Linked DNA regions of Lepisosteus oculatus. The protein of the gene in region 2 interacts with the protein of the main gene of each other region in a pairwise test. Links are inferred from orthologs where the notes say so. Each region holds a gene or a part of one and is shown on either strand. Other genes may lie near its edges.

Region 1 (10,671 bases), on a different chromosome or scaffold from region 2:
AGATGGGAGTGTTATCACCTTCAACCTTGGGAGCTAATATTAGGAAAACTATGCAATGCCCTTCAAGAAGACCATAAATATAACTGTTATATTCTGTTTTAGGTTGCACTACAGATTTAATTTTTTCCAACTACAGAATTGGTAGCTTTCTTAAATTATCTGTGGTGGCCACCAGGAGGTGTGTCACATATAAATGGAATTATTCAGATTGTTATTTCTTTGTGGACTCAAGATAAGATATAAGTACCACAACGCTTTTGAGAACAGAAGATGTAAGAATTGATTTAGAAGCAGTACACATTTATTCAGACATAGGCAAATTTTTGTACTATCTTCTTGAAAGGTAAGGTTCTGAAAATATAAAAAGACAAGAGTGCAGTTTGTTTTTAATTTTTGTTGAATTGCCAAATAGCTCTGACAACTCAAACTGTTAACTTCATTTTTTATGTTACAAATCCAACCAGAAAAAAAAATGCCATGAAATGTTGGGATCAATGAGCTAATGACTATGACATGAGCAAGATGCGGTGAATGGGCTCTTTATGTTGGAAACCTACGCAGTCTTATGAAAGTTAGGTATGAAAGGTAGGCTCCACCTAAGGACAGAATTTCGAAAGCAGGCGAGTGCTGCAGAAGGGCGGGCATGTGTCTGGTAGGACAATAACAGCACTAAATCACACACCCGAGAAGCCTGGATCTGGATTCTTCTTCTTCTTTTTTCTTTCCCATCTTTCTGCATCGTCGGCACTGATCTCCAACAGCTTAGCTCTCTCAAAGTCCTCTCCTCTTGCTGCACATTCCTGAAAATGACATTTTTTTCCAATTTCAAAAATCGGCGCTGGGATAACCCGAACGCCTCGTCCTCCACGTTAACAATGCTTGTCGTCATCATCAAGTCCAACGAGCTCCTATTCCATTCGGGGTCACGGTGGCTTGAAGCCTATCCTGGGAATCACTGAAGGCAAGGCAGCACAGGATGTCAGTCCACTCACACGAGGGCCAATTTCACAGAAGCCAATTAACCTATGAGCATGTCTGTGGACTGCGGGTGGACCCACATGAGCATGGGGAGGACAGACAGCACGCATGGAAGTGAAGCCAGGGCCCCCGAGCTGAGGGGCAGGCATGTTAATCACCACCCCACCATGTCTCCTAATAACGTTTGCATATTTCTTCCACAGTGGCAAGGTGTTGAGGGAGTTAGTTCTTCACAGCTCATGGGTCCTGGGTCTGATTCCCTAGTGAAGTACTTTGTTTGAAGTGCACATTGTTCCCCCCCCCCCCACCCGAATGCTCAAACTTCCTCCCACCTTGCAAGGAATGCCGGCTAGGATAACCTGTTTCTATCCTGTGCCATCCCATTCAGGGCAAAGTTCTGGGATAGGCTCTGGGAGGCTAAGGATTACACAGCCTTCTTGAACGGCTGGAGATTTCGCCCCCCCCCATGATTTCAGTTAGAAATGTAACGATAAGTTAGAAGCACTGTGGTCCGGAATTAGCAGCACAACTTTGCAAACGTAGTCTTGACCTGAACATGTTCTGTAGTATCCCTGTCTTTGTGAGCACAATGTGCTTCTAGGAGTTTTATCCAGAGCCAAAGATTTTGCCCTTTTCTTTCACCCAAGCAAAAAATAAGGAAAGACATAAGCAAAAGGAGATCCCAGACTTGTATGTGCATACACATGCATGCACAGTTTCACATGCATCTCAGATGTGAATATTTCTATAGACATATAGAAATGTCTATAGAAATATAGACATATATGACCTATAGACATATATGACCTAAATTCTCAGTCTTCAAGAAGAATGGAGCCCATGCTCTAAACAGTGACGATTCTGCAGCCCTTCTGAGAGTCCTTTGGTTCAGTTACCTATTAGATCCATTCCAATATAAGCTCTTATAATACATTTAGTGACACCTGGATGCTAAGGGTCACACAACCAACTAAGAAGAGTTTTAGTTACCTTTTTCTTTTCATTCTCATTCAGTTCCCACTCCAGTCTGGCTTTCTTAGCCTCCCAGTTTGGAGGAAGTTTAAGCCTCTTGTCTTCTTCTACAACCTCCTGATGGTTGAGCTTGCGAGCTTCATTCTGTTTCAACATTATCATGATAATGCATGAGTTTTCACTGCAAATATTAACATTATATAACCCAGCATAATGGCCATTTCATGAAAGAGTAAAAGCTCAAGTTCGTAACAGTTCATTGTTTTATAAGTAACACACTGTAAAATCAGAGTAGATTCTAATACAATAATCACTTGCTTCATTCAGTATTTTATTTGCACTAGATGAGGGGTAATGAAAGGCCAGTTCGCAATGACCACAATGATTTTGATTTGTAACAACTCAATGAATGGTTTACCTACATGACAAAGGGTTGGAATTGGGCCATGTCTGCCCATGTCTGGCCTAGTGGCGGAGAATCGATATTACTTTTTAATGACGGGATGATGCCTCTGGTATAGCTACCATAGTTATTTAAATCAAGGTGCTGTACAATTTTGGTCCCCGCATTATAAAAAACAACATTGTTGCTCTTGAGTCAGTGCAGAGAAGAATAACCAGGTCCTGGCAGCAGAAACAGCTGAATAAGATTCCTGAAGCAATTAACCTTCAGCAACCATATTTGTTAGATTGGCATCCTCTCTTTCTTATGTCCCCATGTAATTTTATGATTTTTTTGTACAGACGAATAACAAAAGAGGATCACTTCTATTGTTCTCAGAGCTTTGTGCATTTTCCTCGTTCAAGCCATTCTGGGCTTGGCAGTTTCAACGCGTATTACAAATGAAACAAAGCTTCTGTATAACTCATGAGTCAAACACAGGGGGAACGAATATGAAACGATTTCTAACCCTCTTGAAGTGAAGCTCTCTGAACTTTCGCAGCCTGTCTTCTCTCTTCTGAGCTGCTGTGCTTTCTGAGGATTCCTCATTTGTGTCTGCAACAGCAACCTGGAACAAAATATTAAGCTGACTAAAAATGAGACCATTTTCACAAGACACGTGAAAGAACCGAGAACAGACAATCTATTTCAGAGGCTCCCAACTCCAGCACCTCAGAGCTGGGATCTCAGAATGTGCCCCATGTCTCCTTAAATTGGCAACAGCTGAAGGGTCTAGTGAAACGATCAAGTGGCCCATTTAAACCTTAATTAGTTAAATCACTGTGGCTGGAAGGTTGCTGGTTCGTATCCCGCGGCCGGCAGAGGAATTTTACTCTTTTTTAAAACTCATTTTGCCCTTAACCCCAACCGCTTCAGGGGTGCCATATAAATGGCTGACCCTGCGCTCTGACCCCAATCTTCTCTCCCTGCCTGTGTCTCATGGAGAGCAAGCTGGGGGTGTGTGAAAAGACAAATACTAGAAATTGTATATGGCCGATAAAGTGATCTTAACTAGTTGTTCACGTGTCTGAACCAAAAACCTAAATTGTCTTTTATAATTATGTACCTATAGAAAGCTGCGGTACAACCATTTCCAATTACTAGCCCACCCTGGGAGCCTGTTGCGGTTTTAAAGAAATACATGACTTTGTCGTTACAAAACCAAATAAAACATACAACAATCCGAAAATAGTTCAATCATACAATCACAAGCAGTGCATTAGAAGTACTTAAGTCTACACACTGGCTCCTCTGTAAAGGAACTCGTGGAAAAAAGGATATTAAAAACATCATTCCTAAAAGGTTTTTAAAGTTTCAAATAGTTACAAAAAGAAACCAGGCGTGTATTTCCCGTAATATATACTGTATAGGTTAAACAGCGTTGGACTACCGCTTAAGAATCACCATTTCCAAAGCCAGATAAGAAAGTTTCAAGATTGTCACAGTAGCTTGTGCGTTTTAAAAAACGAAAGTTCAAACAGAAAACTGGCAGTTCAGCGACAGAATCGAACATTTCAATAAGGTATTTTTCTGTTTACTAACCTCCATGCCCGACGCCATCTTGACGGAAGTGTCTGATGCAAAAGGAAGTGAGGTCATCTACCCGAGGGCCAGAGGGAGCTGTCATGTCTGTTGTCGTTTGTTTTTGTCGGTTTTTGTGTCGTAGTCATGCACGACAACGCAAATAAAATATTTCATTTCTGATGATTGTATATCTGTGTATTGGCAAAATGTCTACAGTTACCTAAAAGTTTTGTTACCGTATATGTTATTTTGGGCTAACTATGGGTGGGGGTTAAATTCATTTTAAAAAGTAATATATACGTAAATTAAAGCAGCGAAATAATTTACCCCCAACGTTACGTACGTATTCATTCCATCTGCTTTAAATATAGTAGAAGCATTTAACACACAATTTGGAAATACTAAGCAGTGCACAGTCAGTACATTATACAAAATATTTGTTTACGGGAAAGAATGAGCAGTTCTTGATATGATCAAACTTATTTTTTTAATCAGAAACTAAAAGCAAAATATGATAATACAGGTATCCTTGGAACATAGGACGTTTTTTTTCCCACAAAATTGCAAATTCCCTAAATTTGAGATGCCTGTCATATTAAGCAAATATGCTTTTTGGACTTCGTATTTTGCCACGGGGGGTTATATGATATGTTAGATAGGTATCGCAGGTTATTCATTCATCTCTGACGATGGTAACCAGAACAGCGAACCAGCTGTTTCGTCAATGCTAAGTTGAAACATTTGCATTATAGAAAAACAATTTTTTGGCACATCAAACGTCATAACACAAGTGGAAATGAGTAACTGGTTTCTTAAGTCTGAACTGCTGTTTGTAGTTATGCTCAGGTCTAAACTGCTCACCGGTTAATTTCTATTGCTTATCAATCTAATTAATTTAAACTATGTTTTTAAAAAGATAATGCTGTAATAAACCAAGATGCTTATTTCTGAAATGCTCTAAACTAGAACATACTGATCTTGACCCCATGAAATGGGTCACCAGTGAATGCCAGAGAATTCTTTTCCAGTGAAATTTCTACAAGGGAAGAAAATATTAATTTATAAGTGTCCTTAAATTGCTGCTGTGCTTGTAAAATGAAATTAGTTTATCCAATGCTGTTTTCCAACTGCCTTGACTGATTTAGATGTAATTAAAAATTAATAATTTTTAAAATATAACGGAAGTGCAGGTCAGCATCAATTTGGAAGTGATTAGTCACTGCAAGTGTAATTCTGATTTTCTGATGGAGGTACCAAAAAGCTATCAATAGCTTTTAAGTCAGCTAGTGAATCCCTTTCTTGTCTCCCTCAAGATCTGATAGATCCATCAGGTATTAGTGACTAAATGATGTTGTAGAATATTTTAGAGAGTACCCATGGGGAATATTTCAAGCAGATTGGTTGCCTGGGATTCATTCTAAACTCTCAGTGGGCATCAACTTCATTTAGAGGGAGTCAGAGCTATTTTCTGGGAAATTACATAAAAGGCAAGGAAAACACGAAAACAGTTTAAACCAGTTTAAACCTATAAATATCAGCTCAGACCTTAGAAACCAGTTGCTCATTTCCACTTGGGTTATGATGTGTGACATGACAAAAAAAACGTGTTTTTCTATACTGCAGAAGTTTTAAATTTTAGAATTTATCAGAAAAAAAGGCTAAACCATATGCAAACTACCCTAAATTAGGATAGCTCAATGAGGTCTGGTGTTTGATGTATATATTTTTTTTCTACTGAAAACATGTTTTGGAAGGAAAGTTAGGTGTTCGGCACAATTATCTCTCCCACCCAACCACCTAAAAAGTTTAAAGCAAAAAAGCACAGAATTCACGCTGAAACCACGAATCTCCTGTTCCAGGAGCACATTTACCAGCTATTTCCTCTTCCTGGTTTAAAACAAACTGGTGTCTTACTGATAATTAATGACAGTGTTAATGTTTTACAGAGGCATGCAGCTGAAGCTTTTTGGAGAATCTCATACTGTGCTGCACAACCTGAATATAGCACTTAATAGTCAGGCAGTGATCATATAATCAAGAGCAAAGAATGATTTTTATAGTAAATAATTAAAATTATAATGACATTTATATAACATTTTATAATAACACGCATACATAAAAAGGTAACATTTTCATCATATTCTGAAAGTTCAAAGAAAACCAATGGCAATAGCACTTCTATTAGCTGTTAATTAACACAAAGTCTATCCTGATCCCAACCTGTCCCATTAATTTACAGTCTAGATATTCTCTTTGGTTCAAGAAATTAAAAACTTGAGAAACCAAGGTGAAGTTAACTCAAAGTCAAAGCTGTTTCATTCACACTACATATTAAAAAAACGTACAGCTAAAAAAACAGCTTTAAACTAGCTAGTTTTAAAATCGTTTTTATATGCCATGTCAATACAGCTATTAATCTGTCTTATCAGTAGTATTTATTTCAGCTGAGGTGTGTACCTCAGCTATGAACTTAGCTGTTGCATGTTCTACAATTCTCTTTACAAGATAGAATTTCTCTGTCACACAAATAGCCATTCTGTACTTTTAGGTTCATCTTTTGAGTTTAGATTACTAATCAAATGTTTTTTTTTCATTTGATTGTGCTGCCTATTTATAATTCATAGCCATCTTTTTGGAAATAATTAAGAGTGCTGTCTTGTGGAGCTTACAGCCTGGAGATTAAAGAATACCAGGATCACAGGCGTTGTTAATGAGGTACTGATTTCCACCAAGTAACAGATGGAGAAACATGAAAGAAAACAAAAAATGGACAAAAAACAGTGATTCTCGATATTACAAAAGTGGAACAAAGATAAAAAAAAACAACACAGAAAACTTCATCAAAGTGAATGAGAGTCTGAATCTTTTTCAACAGGGAATTCAAGCTTCAGCAGCATTTGTCTTAATCATAAGAAAGTGATGGGGTCTCATCTCTCCCAGATGATAGCAGCTGGATCCCCAGTAGATTGATGAAGATGGCTCATTCCGTTCCATGTGTATTTAATACTCTGAAAGGGAAAGCTGCTTTGCTGAAACCAAGGAGTCATCAATCTTTTTTCTTCTTTGAGCAAGTTATGTAGCCATCGTAAAAGTAATCTATAACATGCACAGCTCTTCCTGTCTTCCCTGGGTGAGACACTGCAAAGGAGTAAAAAGGAGAATTGAACTGGGGGAGGCCGGAGTGGGAGAGTCGGAGGAAACTGTAGTGTAGCTACCATAGGACGATGGATGTGGCGGACTTCTGGTGAAACCCTAAAATAAACAGGGATGGAAAAGGTTTGCAAAATCTTATGCCATCAGTTTCAATGTCGAATGATTTTTTTCAACATTTCTCCTGTTTTCTTAGCCAGCTGTTTATACCTGGAATCCTGCTCATCTTCAGTCTATACTGGTTTGTAGAGCTGGGCCCAGAACACAGAGAAAGTATAGTGGAGGCAGTGTGAAGCAGAGAGGAGTGTAGCAAAGAAGGATGTAAATCATAGGAAATCATAGCAAAGTAAAGTCTTAATATTAGCATGGCCAAAATACATGAAAACTAAAAATACCGAGCAGACAAAAAAAATGACAAGGGATTGTTTTTTATTTGCCAGTTAGCTACTGTATAACAAAGTCTAAATATTGCTGTGTATAAGGGATCCTTTTCAGTTGATCATTTTGCTATTTCAGTTCTAGCTGAAAGACAGAACTCCAGGTTCTAGATATCGCTTTGCAGGTTTGCAGACACTTTTTGGCTAGCTGCCCATTTGCACCACCAGCAGAGCCTCAAATTCATAAAAATTCTGACTAGAAGACCCTCTGGCAAAACAGCTTGTTTTAGTCAATTAAATTAGTCAGACAAATTGGACACAGTGGGCCCGGACTAACCTGAGACTTTCAAGTTTTGATCTTAGCACCAGTATAATAAATTGAGATGATGCAAGAGGTTGACGTCAATCTTATTAATTGGTGAACCAGATCAGCTCCAATATTGGCCTTCAGATATTAAAGCCTGCTCGAGATAGTACATACTACATATAGTTTGCTCACACGCAATAATGCAGGTCTTCAAAATCGTCACATGCCTTAGAAGCCGCTGGTACTTATGTTTACATTTAAAATTTAATCAGTCAGAGCCTGTTTGCCTCCTGCAACATCCCACTTTTATCTCTCTCTCATGAAGTCCCGTTTGCAAAACCAGCACGTCAGTTAGCAGAACTCAACCAATGACACACCGGGCAAGGCGAGCTAGCTTCCAGCTGTATCACATCTGGCCGTTAATATAAACATCATGGCCTATAAAATCATGCCATTTCCTTAATTACTATTCCTGTCATTTCCGCCCTAAATGAAAAGTTATTCATTCCCGTCCAAAACAAACACACATCGCCAATCCTTTGCGGAGAGCCCGGGCAGAGGCTACAGTCAGCCATCCGCTTACTGCCATTGTGTGGAACAAATTCCACACTTACAGGAGAAAACCCAGTCTTTCCGAGTCAAAGCCCGAGATCTCCACATGAAAGTGGCACACCCTGAAAACGTGCCGCTTCTGGGGTGTGAATCCAGCCTTGCGAGCACTTCCGTTGCTCACTGCTGGTTTAATATAGATTTGGGTGATAATTGTCTGTCTGGTCTTCGCCCACGAGCTGCAGGGATTTCTCTTTTCTGGATCTTGGCTGCACAAGTCTCTTGCTTCACATCTTATGTTCGATTGGCTGTTTGTTTATTTGTTTTGCTGTCCACACCAAGCTATGTTAAGTACAGTACTGTACGTTCTCAATTATACAAGGTGTATGTGTGTGGGGGCTACTGCTCACCCAAACTCCATCTTTGCAGTGTTATAATCTGGACTCCGCCTGACTGTGACTTCATGAGATACAGCAGGCTGTTAGGACTGTCATCATTCTGTTGTAGAAGTCAGAAAACACAAGCTGCTCAAGTTTGCTCCACTATCCTGATTCACTGACTGGGATCAGATGGCCAGCCCTTCTAACATGTGACTTTATAAACATATCAGCTGGCGCCAGCACACACAAAAACTATTCATATTTCAAAATATATGAAATGCAAGGTAAGGGCTGCCAATGTGTGGAAAACAAGCATCTTTAAACAAGTAAGATAACTAAAAACGAGTGTAGTTATGATTTGCAAGTAAGTTGGGATATCCCTTGGTATTATCTTTTATTGAACAATCATATAACAGGAGACGCACATATATGAAAACAGATCTATGCACTCTAATGCCACAAGCCATGAATCTATGGCACAGACTGCAACACGGATAATTTAACTCACAATTAAGAGCCATTATGGGTTTCAAAGGACACCCCAACGATTTCTTTGGATGCCAATATGCATTTACAAACAGCTGTTTCTTGTATTATTTTCCAAAGGGAATCCAACTAATCTGTTATTTTATTATTATTAGTTTTTCAAATTAAAACAAGAGATTACACAGTGTTTTAAAATTACAGATTAAATTTATGATTAAAGTGAATGTAGGGCTTAAGGTTAATAAGAAACTGATTAACTGCATAAATGATGTGAGTCAACTTGCCCAGAGGTGAATTACAGTACTAAAACATAATGATTTTAATGCAAAGTTTTATTTTTTTGCTGTGTGGGTGGTTGGCCATCTTGTATGTGCTGAGTTACGCAGAAGTCAGAATTTCATTTCCATACCTGAATAGACACCAGAGGGAGCTAAATAATAATTTTTCCATTGTAGTAATCAAAACACATAATGAAAAACACCTATTCGGTTTTATTCATTTCTGTAGAATAATGTAGACACACATACATGTATTTTAGACTTGATACTTCAAAGACTGAAGGACAAAAGTATACTATGCATTCCTGTTTTGGTTAATGTTTAAATGTTTAAATAAAGTAAAACATTTTGACAATGATTTTGTATTGTTGGAAACATCTAAATGCCACATCTAAATGTGCTACTTATTATTAATTACTTACTGAAATATAGTATATTGATCTTATGCTAGATCATTGCTGACAATTTTTTTTAACTTAAAAGCTTTATACTGAGCTTTGGAAAAACCTTAAAAACCACACACACAATAATAACTGACAAGCTTCTGTACCAAAGACTAAGCTGACATTTAGAAAACGACGTTACCCCCTTTTGAACACATCAATCCAATCTCTCTAGATTAAACACGATAATTAAGTGAATACATAAGGAGCTTCTAATTGTTCCATCTGTGCATACCAGCCAGAGTCTCGGAACAGAGCCTAACAAAGCTTTATAGCTGCTGGGATTCTTAATTCCTGTGAGTGACACATCAAGCGCTCTTCTTGTCTTGACAGTTCTTGTAAATCTATACATTTTCATTAAAAAACAGTACGCCCTGTATCTAAAATTGCCTTAAGTAGTGTGAATGACCAACAACTTAATAAAACAAGTATGCTTTTGTGAGCAGAGGTGGACTAGCTCTGTTCTTTCGTGCGGCAATTGTTTCCTCATTTTTGAAAATTAAATTAATTCTGGATAATCAACTCGCCAAGTTTTTTTTTTTGTGTGGTAAACATCCAGAAGATAAAACTAAGGCCACTGTGGTTGATTAGCTGTTATATGATTTTCTGTCTGTTTCTGTTCAGGGGTGAGGTACAGACACTTCTTCCACAGGATGAGATTATTTAATGTTATTAAAGTTATTCATGTTTTACCACCTTTGCCACACACAGGATTTTGTCTGCCCTAAAAGCTGTGTTTGTCAACGACATCAGAAAAGTGATGTAACTGATTGTACACAGGGCTT
Region 2 (10,190 bases):
GGTGCATCAGCAGTGCACAGGTGAAGAGGGTTCCCAGCCCACTAACGAAGATGGGAAATGAGCTCGCTGGTTCCAGAGCAAAGACTCATTGACAAGCAGATTTCACTGATCCTATTTGCTAAAGACTTATTAATTTGCTAAATTGGACATGTTTAATATCGATGGCAGAGCAGTACTGATCTACGGTCAGCATTTAGCAATAAAACAACCCGACATGGCTAAATGTTGCACAACGTCAGGGATACAAATTGAAACTAACAGTCTACATCATCTTTGAAATGGTCTCGAACCATAAAGGAAACAGTCTCAAAACATGTGCTGCAAATAAAATTTAGATTTTGAGACAACAACACTTTCTTATCACCACTGTTCTGTAAAGACATGGTATTTTTCGCACTGGAGATCGGACAAAACTCTTGTCTTGCCATCAGCATTTTTTTTTTACAGTGCTCCTTTATTTTAAAAAAGCATGACTCCCCGACACACCACTTTTTGACACGTTTCCTCCTTGATCACACCTATAACACAATACTTGGATTTTACTTGCTCTTTTCTTCTAGGACACGTGTTGTCATTCTAGATGCAAGGTACTACCTTGTTCAAGGTATATCAACGTGTACCAATACCAAGGTATTACCTTATTCACCATCTGAATAAGACAAGTTCTCAATCCAACTGCAAATTCCTAAAGTGCCAAATGCATGATTAGGGAGCCCAGTGATCCCAGTCATCTCCACCTACGGACAGGTATACAGAGACTAATCACCTGCAGAGGAGAGACAGGTGAAGGCTGATATCCAGACACCTACCTCACAATATCCAGGACTTTCTTTAAGACTGAGGCCAGGCTCGTTGCCTGGAATGACAAAACACAGCACATAAATCTACCAATTCCTCTGTGTGACCAAACAAGGACACACAGCCAAGCGATTTTCCGACAAGGGGACATTAAAATATCAAAGATGGCAAAAGATTCCGCACAGATTTATTTTTGGAAAACTTTCTTTCTGCATCAAACGGGAAGGGAACCAGTTACCAGTATTACAGCTAAGGCAGCACGCGAGCAGTGGACTCGCAGTCATGGAGAGACGGCAGGAGAGGAGCCTTACGTTCTGACGCACGCCGCTGTAGCTCATGGGGGGATACAGGCTGAGGGCCAGGTCGTCCACACTGCAAGACAGAGACCCGGGATCACTGTCCTCTACCCTTCCAGCCACGCCACAGCCCGAGCTTTCCCTGCCCTCGCGGGACGACACACCCCCCAACTTCCCAGGAGCTGGAAATGACGTCGCGAACTCTAACTTGCCGCGACTCAGACAGATGGAATAAAACATCCGGGAATCTAAAAAAAGCTGAAGTGCATCAACGTACCGATTAAGCCAAAAGCAGACAGGGAGCTCAATTCGCTCACCTGGGGCTGATCTCTTTGGTCACGTCAGCAAGGTCGTCCAGCTGAGCGATGTTCTCGGGCGTGTCCACCTTCCCATGAGCCTTCACTGCCGCAGACAGCTTCTTCAGGCACGCCTTGGAGGCCTTCATCAGGCCCTGGCAGGGGGCCAGCAGCTGCCTGTCCTCTTCGGACCAGTATGTGTCCTGGTTTCCCCGGGAGTCCAGCTCTTCGTCGTCCAGAACATCACTGAATGGATCCAGATTGTCCGCCTGGGCCTGGAGCAGGGAGAAGGGAGAAGATCTCTCAGGTTAATGGAGAGAAAGACAAGGGGGATACCAGACAGCTACTGACAATACTAGTTTAGCCGTCTCCCTTTCCCAGTGACAGCATGAGTGTCAGGAAAATATGTGGGTTAGAATCTCTCAGCGCCACTGTCACCTAACGGTGCAAACCCTCCATCTCGACAAGCACCTGTTCCATTTCCTCTATGGCATCCTTGACCACACCAGCGGAGGAGGACATCACCAACAGGACAGCTGCCTGGTTGTCTGCACGGAAAATTGAAAATGGAACAAAACTCACTGGTGTGCCCAAAACGCTGGGAACATCTGCAGAAAAAGAAAAAACACCTCTTACACAGTCACCCCTCCCCCCCCCCACCCAGTGTGGATGTGAATGCAGCAGACTGTAGCACCGCAGCACAGGCCCAAACTGATTCACAGGCAGCACTGACGCTTCGCATACCTGCAACACAGCAAACCGTTCAGGTGCTGAAATCAAAGTCTTTAGTCGAAGTCCATCGGTAAAAGAAATATTTTTCAAATAATGAACTGAACGTCTGCACGCACTCCCTGACACACTGGTCCCCATTTCTGGCTCCTGACCATCTCCTGACCCGCTTCTCTTTTTAAGGCTTGGACAGAGAAGACTGACAGGGTTCCTGATCCATGCGTCCCCAGTCAAGCCAATGAACGTCTTTAGCATCAGCAGCGTTAACGCGAGCCAGAGGTCACTGGAAACTAGCTGGACGTTTCAAGTGAGAACAGGGGGTAGAGGGGTTGTGAAAGAGCTCCCCAGACACGCTGTTACCCTGCCTGGCTGGATGAGCCCCCCGCATTAATTAACTGCTAACTGCTGAGCTGGCCCAGCTGCGGAGTGCGGAGGAGGGACAAAGTGGGGCGACTCACCTCTGGGCAGGTGTGCGACCTGGTCACACGATGACCACACCCCGCCCGTGGAGGTCAGCTGCTCCTGGGACAGGCTGTGGAGAGGCGGGGGGGAACAGGGAGGGACAGGGAGTCAGGTCCGCGTCACCACTTCCGTTTAAAAAAAAAACAACTGAATTCCGAAACGTCGGCGCGAGGGGTGACCTCTGCAGGGGGGAGCTCAGGATGATCTCGACCAGCTGTGCCACGCCCTCCAGCGCCTCCGCGGCGGCATTGCGGACGGTCCGGCGCAGAGTGACCCCTGGGGAGAGAGCGCCGGGTCACACCGAGAGCCGCGCGGGCGCGACGCACACGCAGCCCGCACTGAGGGCGACAGGGCTGTACCTTGGCTCTTGGGCAGCCAGTAGTAGACCGTGGCCAGAGACAGGGCGCTCTTCTGAACGCAGTCTGCCAGCATCTGGCAATCCTTGGAAGACAGACAGGAAAGCAAAGGATGAGAATAAGCAGGAAGGAAAGTATATGTAGTGTTCTTCACATGCATCACAAACACCAACATGACACCTAGTAACTGGAATCAAACCTGCATGTTTGTGTTCAATTAACAGCCGGCTTTTCTCCAACTTGAGGAGAGTAAAAATCTAGATCCACGATATTTTAGACAGATTACGGATTGTTTTACGCTCTTCATGCGCAGAAATTGCACTAGACACCCTTCAGATGCCACGGAGATAAAGGAGCTGCAAGCTGCAGGCCACCCGCGGGCCGAGCTGGAAACGGAGAGAAACAGGCTGCGGCCTACCTGGGCGCCGGGCAGGGGGGGCTTGGAGAAGGCAAGGCTCAGCTTCGTGGCTTCCTGAGACACCGCCTTGAAAGCCCGACCTGCGAACGCAGACCGAAAACTCAAACCCTCTCCGCGTCACAGACACCGACCGGCCCCAGGGATAAAAATCTGGCGTTAAAAAATCTAAAATGGGCCCCCCATTCTGCTACAGCCTTCCTGTGGAATCAGGACAGGGAAAGGAAAAACATAAAAAATACTCAGCCTAAAGTGTCCCAGAAATGCTGAAGGTTAAACTCTTCATTCGACTCCTTAGACTCGCCATCTAGAAACAGACAGAGAGATGGGTCAATTAGCCGAATGGCTGCACTGACTAATTAACCCCACTAAGCACAGCAGAAAGTCCCACTGCGTGCAAACTGACAAGCCTTGAGGTCCAGGCTACATGAAACCACCTGAGTGTTAAATAATCCTGCTTTCTCAGCTCTCCCCTAACTGGCTCGTTAGTGAAACGATCCGAAGGCACTCTTCCCACGGGCATCATCATCATCATCCCACGTGACACGTTCCCCTCTCTCTGCATGGATCTGGAATCCTCCGAGTGCTGTGCCACATGATGGCCGTCATGCCAGCAGGAAATTCAGCACAAACCAGTTCGTCTTTAGAGCAGCTGGGGACCGTCTCGGCCAGCTGCCCAACAGGTTACACCCCCAACTCACACTGACAGTTTCAGGCTGGTTTCAGGTCAAGGGGCCACAACTGACAGGGTGCACAGTGTGGTCAGGGGGAAACCCTGTCATCATTACCCCACTTCATGCTTGAAAACAGTTTGTGTGACAATTTGTAGGAAGGGCTCTTTTTGGAAACTGGGGTGCCTCACTTTTAGCTCTCGAGAAGTTTCCAGGACCCCCAAGGATACTACTTGAGTAAACCTAATCTCGCTCTACAAATTTGCCCTGGATCGATCATGTGTACAGCCTGCAAATCGGAGAAAATACGATAACACTCGATCATTTTTTCTTTCTATTATTATAAACTGACCACTTCTTATTTCACAGACAAATGACTATCACGTCGGCTGTTCCTTTACACTGTATTAAAAGGTGACACGCTTTTTTTAAGTCCGCTAAATCGGGATAAAATAAAAAGGCATAAAAGAAAGTAAGAGAAAAATTAACCTAATGGAAATTCACGTGTAATGAATTTTGTGGATGCCATTTAAAGCATTAGAATTATTTTATAAGTCTTAGTCGTTTAAATATCGTAAGCTGTAACGATCCAGCTATTCGCTACGTTTCACTAAAACGTGTACAAAACATCGGGCGTCTCCCCCTCAAAAGGCTTTTGCTACAGATAAACACGCTGCTCGATTTGAGGGTGGCGAGGCGAGCCTCAATTATCTGAGTTACATGAACTTTTTCTGTGCCCAGATCTCCCTTCGCAATGCAGTGATGAACAGACCGCCCTCTGCCGACGAGACACACTCCGTCATGTGCGAGTGAAAACCGAGAAAAGAGACGATGGCATTAACCCAAAGGACCTTCCTCTAAACGATCGTGGCAAAGATGCAGTTCTTCGTTCATGAACCGCTCGCAAATGAATCGGCTTGCGCCTTTCTTCGGGTTCAAACGTGCCATTACCAAGCGGGCCTGCTGTACTCAACACATCTCCATGCCAACACTACTTCTGGGCGATATCCCAGTATGACAAACAAATAAACAAGGTTCCCCTACCTCTCACTCGCTCCCGGATGCACTGCACCGAGTTAAGGAGATTTTTCAAAGGCACCAAGACGTCCGGACTCGAATTGTCTGCGTTCATATCTCCGCGTCTTCAAGCCAGCTCACAGCACATTGCACTCCCGAGGAACTAAAGCAGCCCAGCCCACTGTTTACCCCCTAGATTCGATTATTGAAGGAGTCGGGACGTCACTTCCTACCGGAAGACAATTAGGGTGACACCACGCAAGTCTCCGCGCCATCTTGGTGAAGGAGACTCTGTGTAACTTATCGGTTGTTGCCAATAAAGCTCTTTGAATTTGAAAAACCGTCCAGCGGCCGTGGCCGAGTCTAAATTAGTGTATCAAGACAGGAAAAAAATCACTAGGTGGCGCTCTCGGATCTGATTTAAAAAGTTGTGTTTAAGTTACAGTGCAAATCCGCGTTTTTCATTACAAAGTTACTGAAAACATTGGGGACGTTTATTTTATATGATAAATAACAAGCAATGTAAACAAACCAAAGATTGAAGTTGTTCAAAATTAACTTTAATTTTAACACAATCAATACGGTATACGAACACTTGAACACCGCAGTTTCAGAGCCGGGACAGGGAAACAGCAGGGACAACAGCAAGTGATAGGGCTTGGAGGGACTCTTTCACTGTGCAAATCCAGCCCCATCCTCCACTTGCACTGATTGATTGATAAAGGACAAGCGCCTTCTTTTAGAACAGATGTAATATTGTAGAAATTGCAAGACTTTGCATGAGTGTGTACTTATCGTGAGATGTTTATTGTGAAATAAAGTTTATTTGATAGAAGATATAATAGATATATAATAGATAATATAATAGATATAATAGGTACTGTACGTGGTGCACAATGAATATATTGTATGAAATCTTTCACTGAGTGAGTCAAAATGTATTTATTCCAACCTGGATAACCCATACAACCTACAGGATAAAACTTTATAACAGAGAAATTAAAGTCTTACTGATTTTTTGTTTGTTTGTTTGTTTGTTTGTTTGTTTAAAACACGGTGCTGTTCATCAATACCTAAACCTCTGTATCTGAAGTTCTTGAAAAAAACAAAGCAAGTTAAAACGGGACCTGAAATGCTGTCTGTTGTGTGTAGTGAAGTATTTTATTATATGTGGTTTATCTGAAGGCAACAGGATATTGCTTGGTGTCTGATTAGCTGTGGTTTAGTACATTAACCCAGGAGGCTGTGATTTCACCAGGCCTTATCACATTTTCACTCTGTGGTACACCCTGGTCCCTGGCATGGGGCACACTTTGCCCCTCAGCTAAAGGGCCTGTCACCCCCTGCCCCCCCAGCCAGCTGCTGGCCACGTGCTGCTACGTGTGGAGCAGCTGCACAAACACCACCGCGTCAGGCTCACCAGCACAACAGGGCTGTTTTGGCACTTGGCGGCAGCACGCTAGGAATTAACAAGGGAGGTTAATTTTTAATATTAAAAATGACTCTCCTGTGGACTGGGTGCCCGGGCTGGGCTGTGTTCCCACACGGCACAGCCTGCAGTCGCACACCTCCTGCTTTACTGAAGGTAGAAGTGAGCAGGGCAAAGAAACACAGCTGATACTCCCCCAGAGAGCCCGGATACAGGACGTTTTGCAGGTCATCAAACGGATTATTTCTGATGACCAGGAAATATCACGTTGCAAAAGATCTCTAATTTATTTTACGAATTCTTAAAAGATAAGGGTGAATTGTTCTAGGTCTTTAGAACCATGCAATTTAATTGTGATCTATAAATGCTAAAACCAAATTAAAACCGAACACTCCTTGTTCATAAAAATATTTTATCCATTTGTATATCATCCATAGTATGCATTCCATTACAATTTCCAAGCACTAAGAACATTACAGCATCTGGATTTCTGGTTGTAGACCTCGTGTTCGTCAAAGACTTAGCAGTCAAATATCGAACCTGGATTATTATGTTGGACCACAAAATAATTTAATTTATATGCACAGTAATAACTGTGAAAGTAATCCACTTCAGATTCGATACTTTCTTGTACTGGGACAGCCGCTGGATTGGGTTTGTAAAAATACATAAATGTTCTTTGCTTTTTTATTACTGGAGCAGGGAACATCAGACTTTAGCCTTTGACTTCAATGGAGAGATCGGTAGATGTGAATTCATAGGTTTTTGCATCTGTAAACAGAGAGGATAGAAGTGCATCAATAAGTCACAAACGTCAGAGCTGTCCTTGCCTCACTGAGCCTGCGCTGGCAGCATGCCAGCTGTTATTAATTAAGGGGATGTGTCAACATCCTTGAGGTTGGGAAGAAACAGGAAAACATGTTTTCCTCCTCTCTTCCAGTTCCACCACTCTCTCTGCGGTGCACGACAACAAGTGTATTTGTGTATTTGTGAGAGAACGTCTCGTCTGAACCCACTGGGGTCCACAAGGACTTTGCTCAAGATGCCTACGTATCATTAACCCTTTCTTTGGCATCCTTAGGCTTATACATCCAATGTTGTCTAGTTTTAGTGTTGATCCTTAAAAAGTTAAAGAATAAAAGTGGCTGAGCGACGTGGCTATTTTATTAATTCAGACTGAGCCAACTTGTTGATCAGTCGTGCGCTCACTCCTGTAACAGTAAGCACAGGCATGCACAGCGGCCATTCTGCACCAGCAGCCCCACCTGGGAGACACACAGGGGCCATTCTGCACCAGCAGCCCCACCTGGGAGATACACAGGGGCCATTCTGCACCAGCAGCCCCACCAGGGAGACACACAGACACCATTCTGCACCAGCAGCCCCACCTGGGAGACACACAGCGACCATTCTGCACCAGCAGCCCCACCTGGGAGGCACACAGGGGCCATTCTGCACCAGTGGCCCCGCCTGGGAGACACACAGTGATCATTCTGCACCAGTGGCCCCGCCTGGGAGACACACGGTGATCATTCTGCACCAGCGGCCCCACTGCACAGTGGATCAGGGTGAGATGTGAGAAACTGCTGCACCAGCTGAGTGAAGGAGGACCTTCTGGGAGGCCAAAGTGAAATTTAATGGGACATCAGGGTAACACCCCCACACTAACAAACAGTTATCATGGAATCCTTATTGACCAAATAAACTGCCTTCTTCCATACTGAATAGCGAATATTTGATGTTATGTATGTCTGCATTCAATTTTAATTTGCCAGGTGTCTGCCCAGTCCTGAAAACTATCTAAGGCTTTCTGTAATTGGTCTTTTATATCTATAGTGTGTAATTCCTGAAAGCCCTGTAGTTATATTTTGGTGGCAACGTGTCCACAGCTTGTCTACAGCAAGATGTCCAGTAATTGGTTCTCTACTGAACACTCTGGACTATTACTTCAATGTCTTCCACAATGGGGTTTAATGATTGTCTGTCTTATACCACATAGATGGTTACTCAGTATAGTCACCAGAATCACACAGATTTATAACGTGTTGCATAACTTCACCCCTGTACCCTTACAAACAATGAATCTGATTGTCTCGGTAGTACAGGGAGTCCCATCAGAATGAGCAGTACACCAGCGGCCATCTTGACAAGCCCTTCTGCGTCGGGCTCAGCAGTCTACAAACACCAAAGGAGAAGCGAAAACAGATAGCTGTGCACCGTATTTATTGAATAAAGCATTATGGAAACTTCCGCCACTTTCGTTCGTGTTTCCCTTTAATGTTTTTTTTCTCTCTTGTCTTAAGTTGAAAAACCTTTTTTCCCACCTTCTGCACAGTCTCTATGTGGGTCCAAACCTTATATCCGCAGCTGTGCCGAAGTCTTCGAGATCCCGCCCTTCTCCCGCGTGAAGACCAGCTCTTCAGTCATATTCCTCTGACTTTCTGGGCGTCTTGTTTTAAGACTGCTGGTTACATCGTGCCGAATTGTCTGTCGGGCAGGTTTTCAGAAAACGATTCCAGCCTCTCTCAGGATTTTGTAACTCCCCTCCTCCTTTTCTTTGTGCGAGAAAACACCGTGAAAACCGCCACCAGCTCTTACTGCGTTCGGCTCCCCATCCACACGCCCCAGAAACACAGCGCCTCCGGGATCATAATCCGTTCATCCATTCACCCATTCATCCAGTACATTTCTGACCACTCTCTCCGATACCGGGTCGCAGGGGAGCCGGGCTCCTGTACGATTCAGTATCCCCTGGGTCAGACACCGGGACCCATCTTACTTATAAATATTTCTAAAACATTTCCTTCAGTATTTTAACACATGACGTGCAGATCAAGTGTCTAGAATCGTTTCCGGAGAGTGAGAATCGTGTATTTTTTAAGAACATAATTTAAAGCCAGCGGTGGCGCTCAGAGTCGCTGTGCAGTTGGGTTCGGACGGGTCTGTCCCGGCTACCCAGTGCCGGACGCTCCTGCAGCCGGGTCTGTGCCGGAGATGCCCGGTGTGAATTCCGCCCCCAGCTGATGAGAAATGCGCGTTCAAAGCGCAGCGAGAGGAGGACAGGAGTGTGACTCGGGACTGCGGTACCCCTACTTCAGCTTTATTTGATCGTTTTTAAACGACATTGAAGGTTCCTGGAGGCATCTCTTACTCCTTATCCTGGATTTGGCGACTCCAGTGTCTGTTTTTCCATCTGGACTTTGAACGGTTTGATTTAGCCCTTATTTGAAGCAATACTCTGATTAAACTGACTATTCATTTGATCATTTTATTTATTTTTGCTCCTGAACAGAATACGACTTCGAGGAGCGAATCCTAAACTTAACGTTTAGCTATGCGGTTAAATTATTAGTTGAATCCGGGTTTAATTCAAGAGGGAAGAGTTCGCCTGGAAGAAAATGGATCAGAAATTCAGGCTCAGAGGGACCTGGAGTAGATTAACCGGCCCTAGAAACTCCCGTGCAGCTGCGAGCTCAGCTCTACCAGCCAGGACTCCCGGCTTCCGCCACTGTCACATCTTGGACGAGCCTCCGCGGCCCCTGACCAATCACAGCCTGCGATTCGCACTAAGGTGTCAAGACAACAGCCAATCAGGTTTTAGTATCTGCCGCAAGAGATACGTCATTCATCGACGAGATGGAGCCGAACAGGTCTGGAAGCTGTCTTGCATCACGGGCGATCTGGGGCAGAGTTGAACTTTAACGTGAACCGCATGGAGCAA

The links.
Region 1: the proteins of ccndbp1 (region 2) and syf2 interact in binary tests that used the Homo sapiens proteins (3 or more experiments, as listed by UniProt). The link is inferred for Lepisosteus oculatus from reciprocal best matches to the Homo sapiens genes CCNDBP1 and SYF2.

Annotation. Positions count from the first base shown.
Region 1 is NC_090706.1:3,909,182-3,919,852, forward strand, and holds the start of syf2 (pre-mRNA-splicing factor syf2), read right to left. Parts: upstream 4,014-10,671; 5' UTR 3,992-4,013; coding exon 3,935-3,991; intron 2,961-3,934; coding exon 2,862-2,960; intron 2,095-2,861; coding exon 1,969-2,094; intron 801-1,968; coding exon 683-800; intron 1-682. UniProt on the Homo sapiens protein: Involved in pre-mRNA splicing as component of the spliceosome.
Region 2 is NC_090711.1:1,706,458-1,716,647, reverse strand, and holds the start of ccndbp1 (cyclin-D1-binding protein 1 homolog), read right to left. Parts: upstream 5,240-10,190; 5' UTR 5,156-5,239; coding exon 5,068-5,155; intron 3,660-5,067; coding exon 3,600-3,659; intron 3,436-3,599; coding exon 3,356-3,435; intron 3,023-3,355; coding exon 2,941-3,022; intron 2,858-2,940; coding exon 2,761-2,857; intron 2,652-2,760; coding exon 2,578-2,651; intron 1,939-2,577; coding exon 1,862-1,938; intron 1,666-1,861; coding exon 1,412-1,665; intron 1,171-1,411; coding exon 1,110-1,170; intron 857-1,109; coding exon 810-856; intron 1-809. UniProt on the Homo sapiens protein: May negatively regulate cell cycle progression. May act at least in part via inhibition of the cyclin-D1/CDK4 complex, thereby preventing phosphorylation of RB1 and blocking E2F-dependent transcription.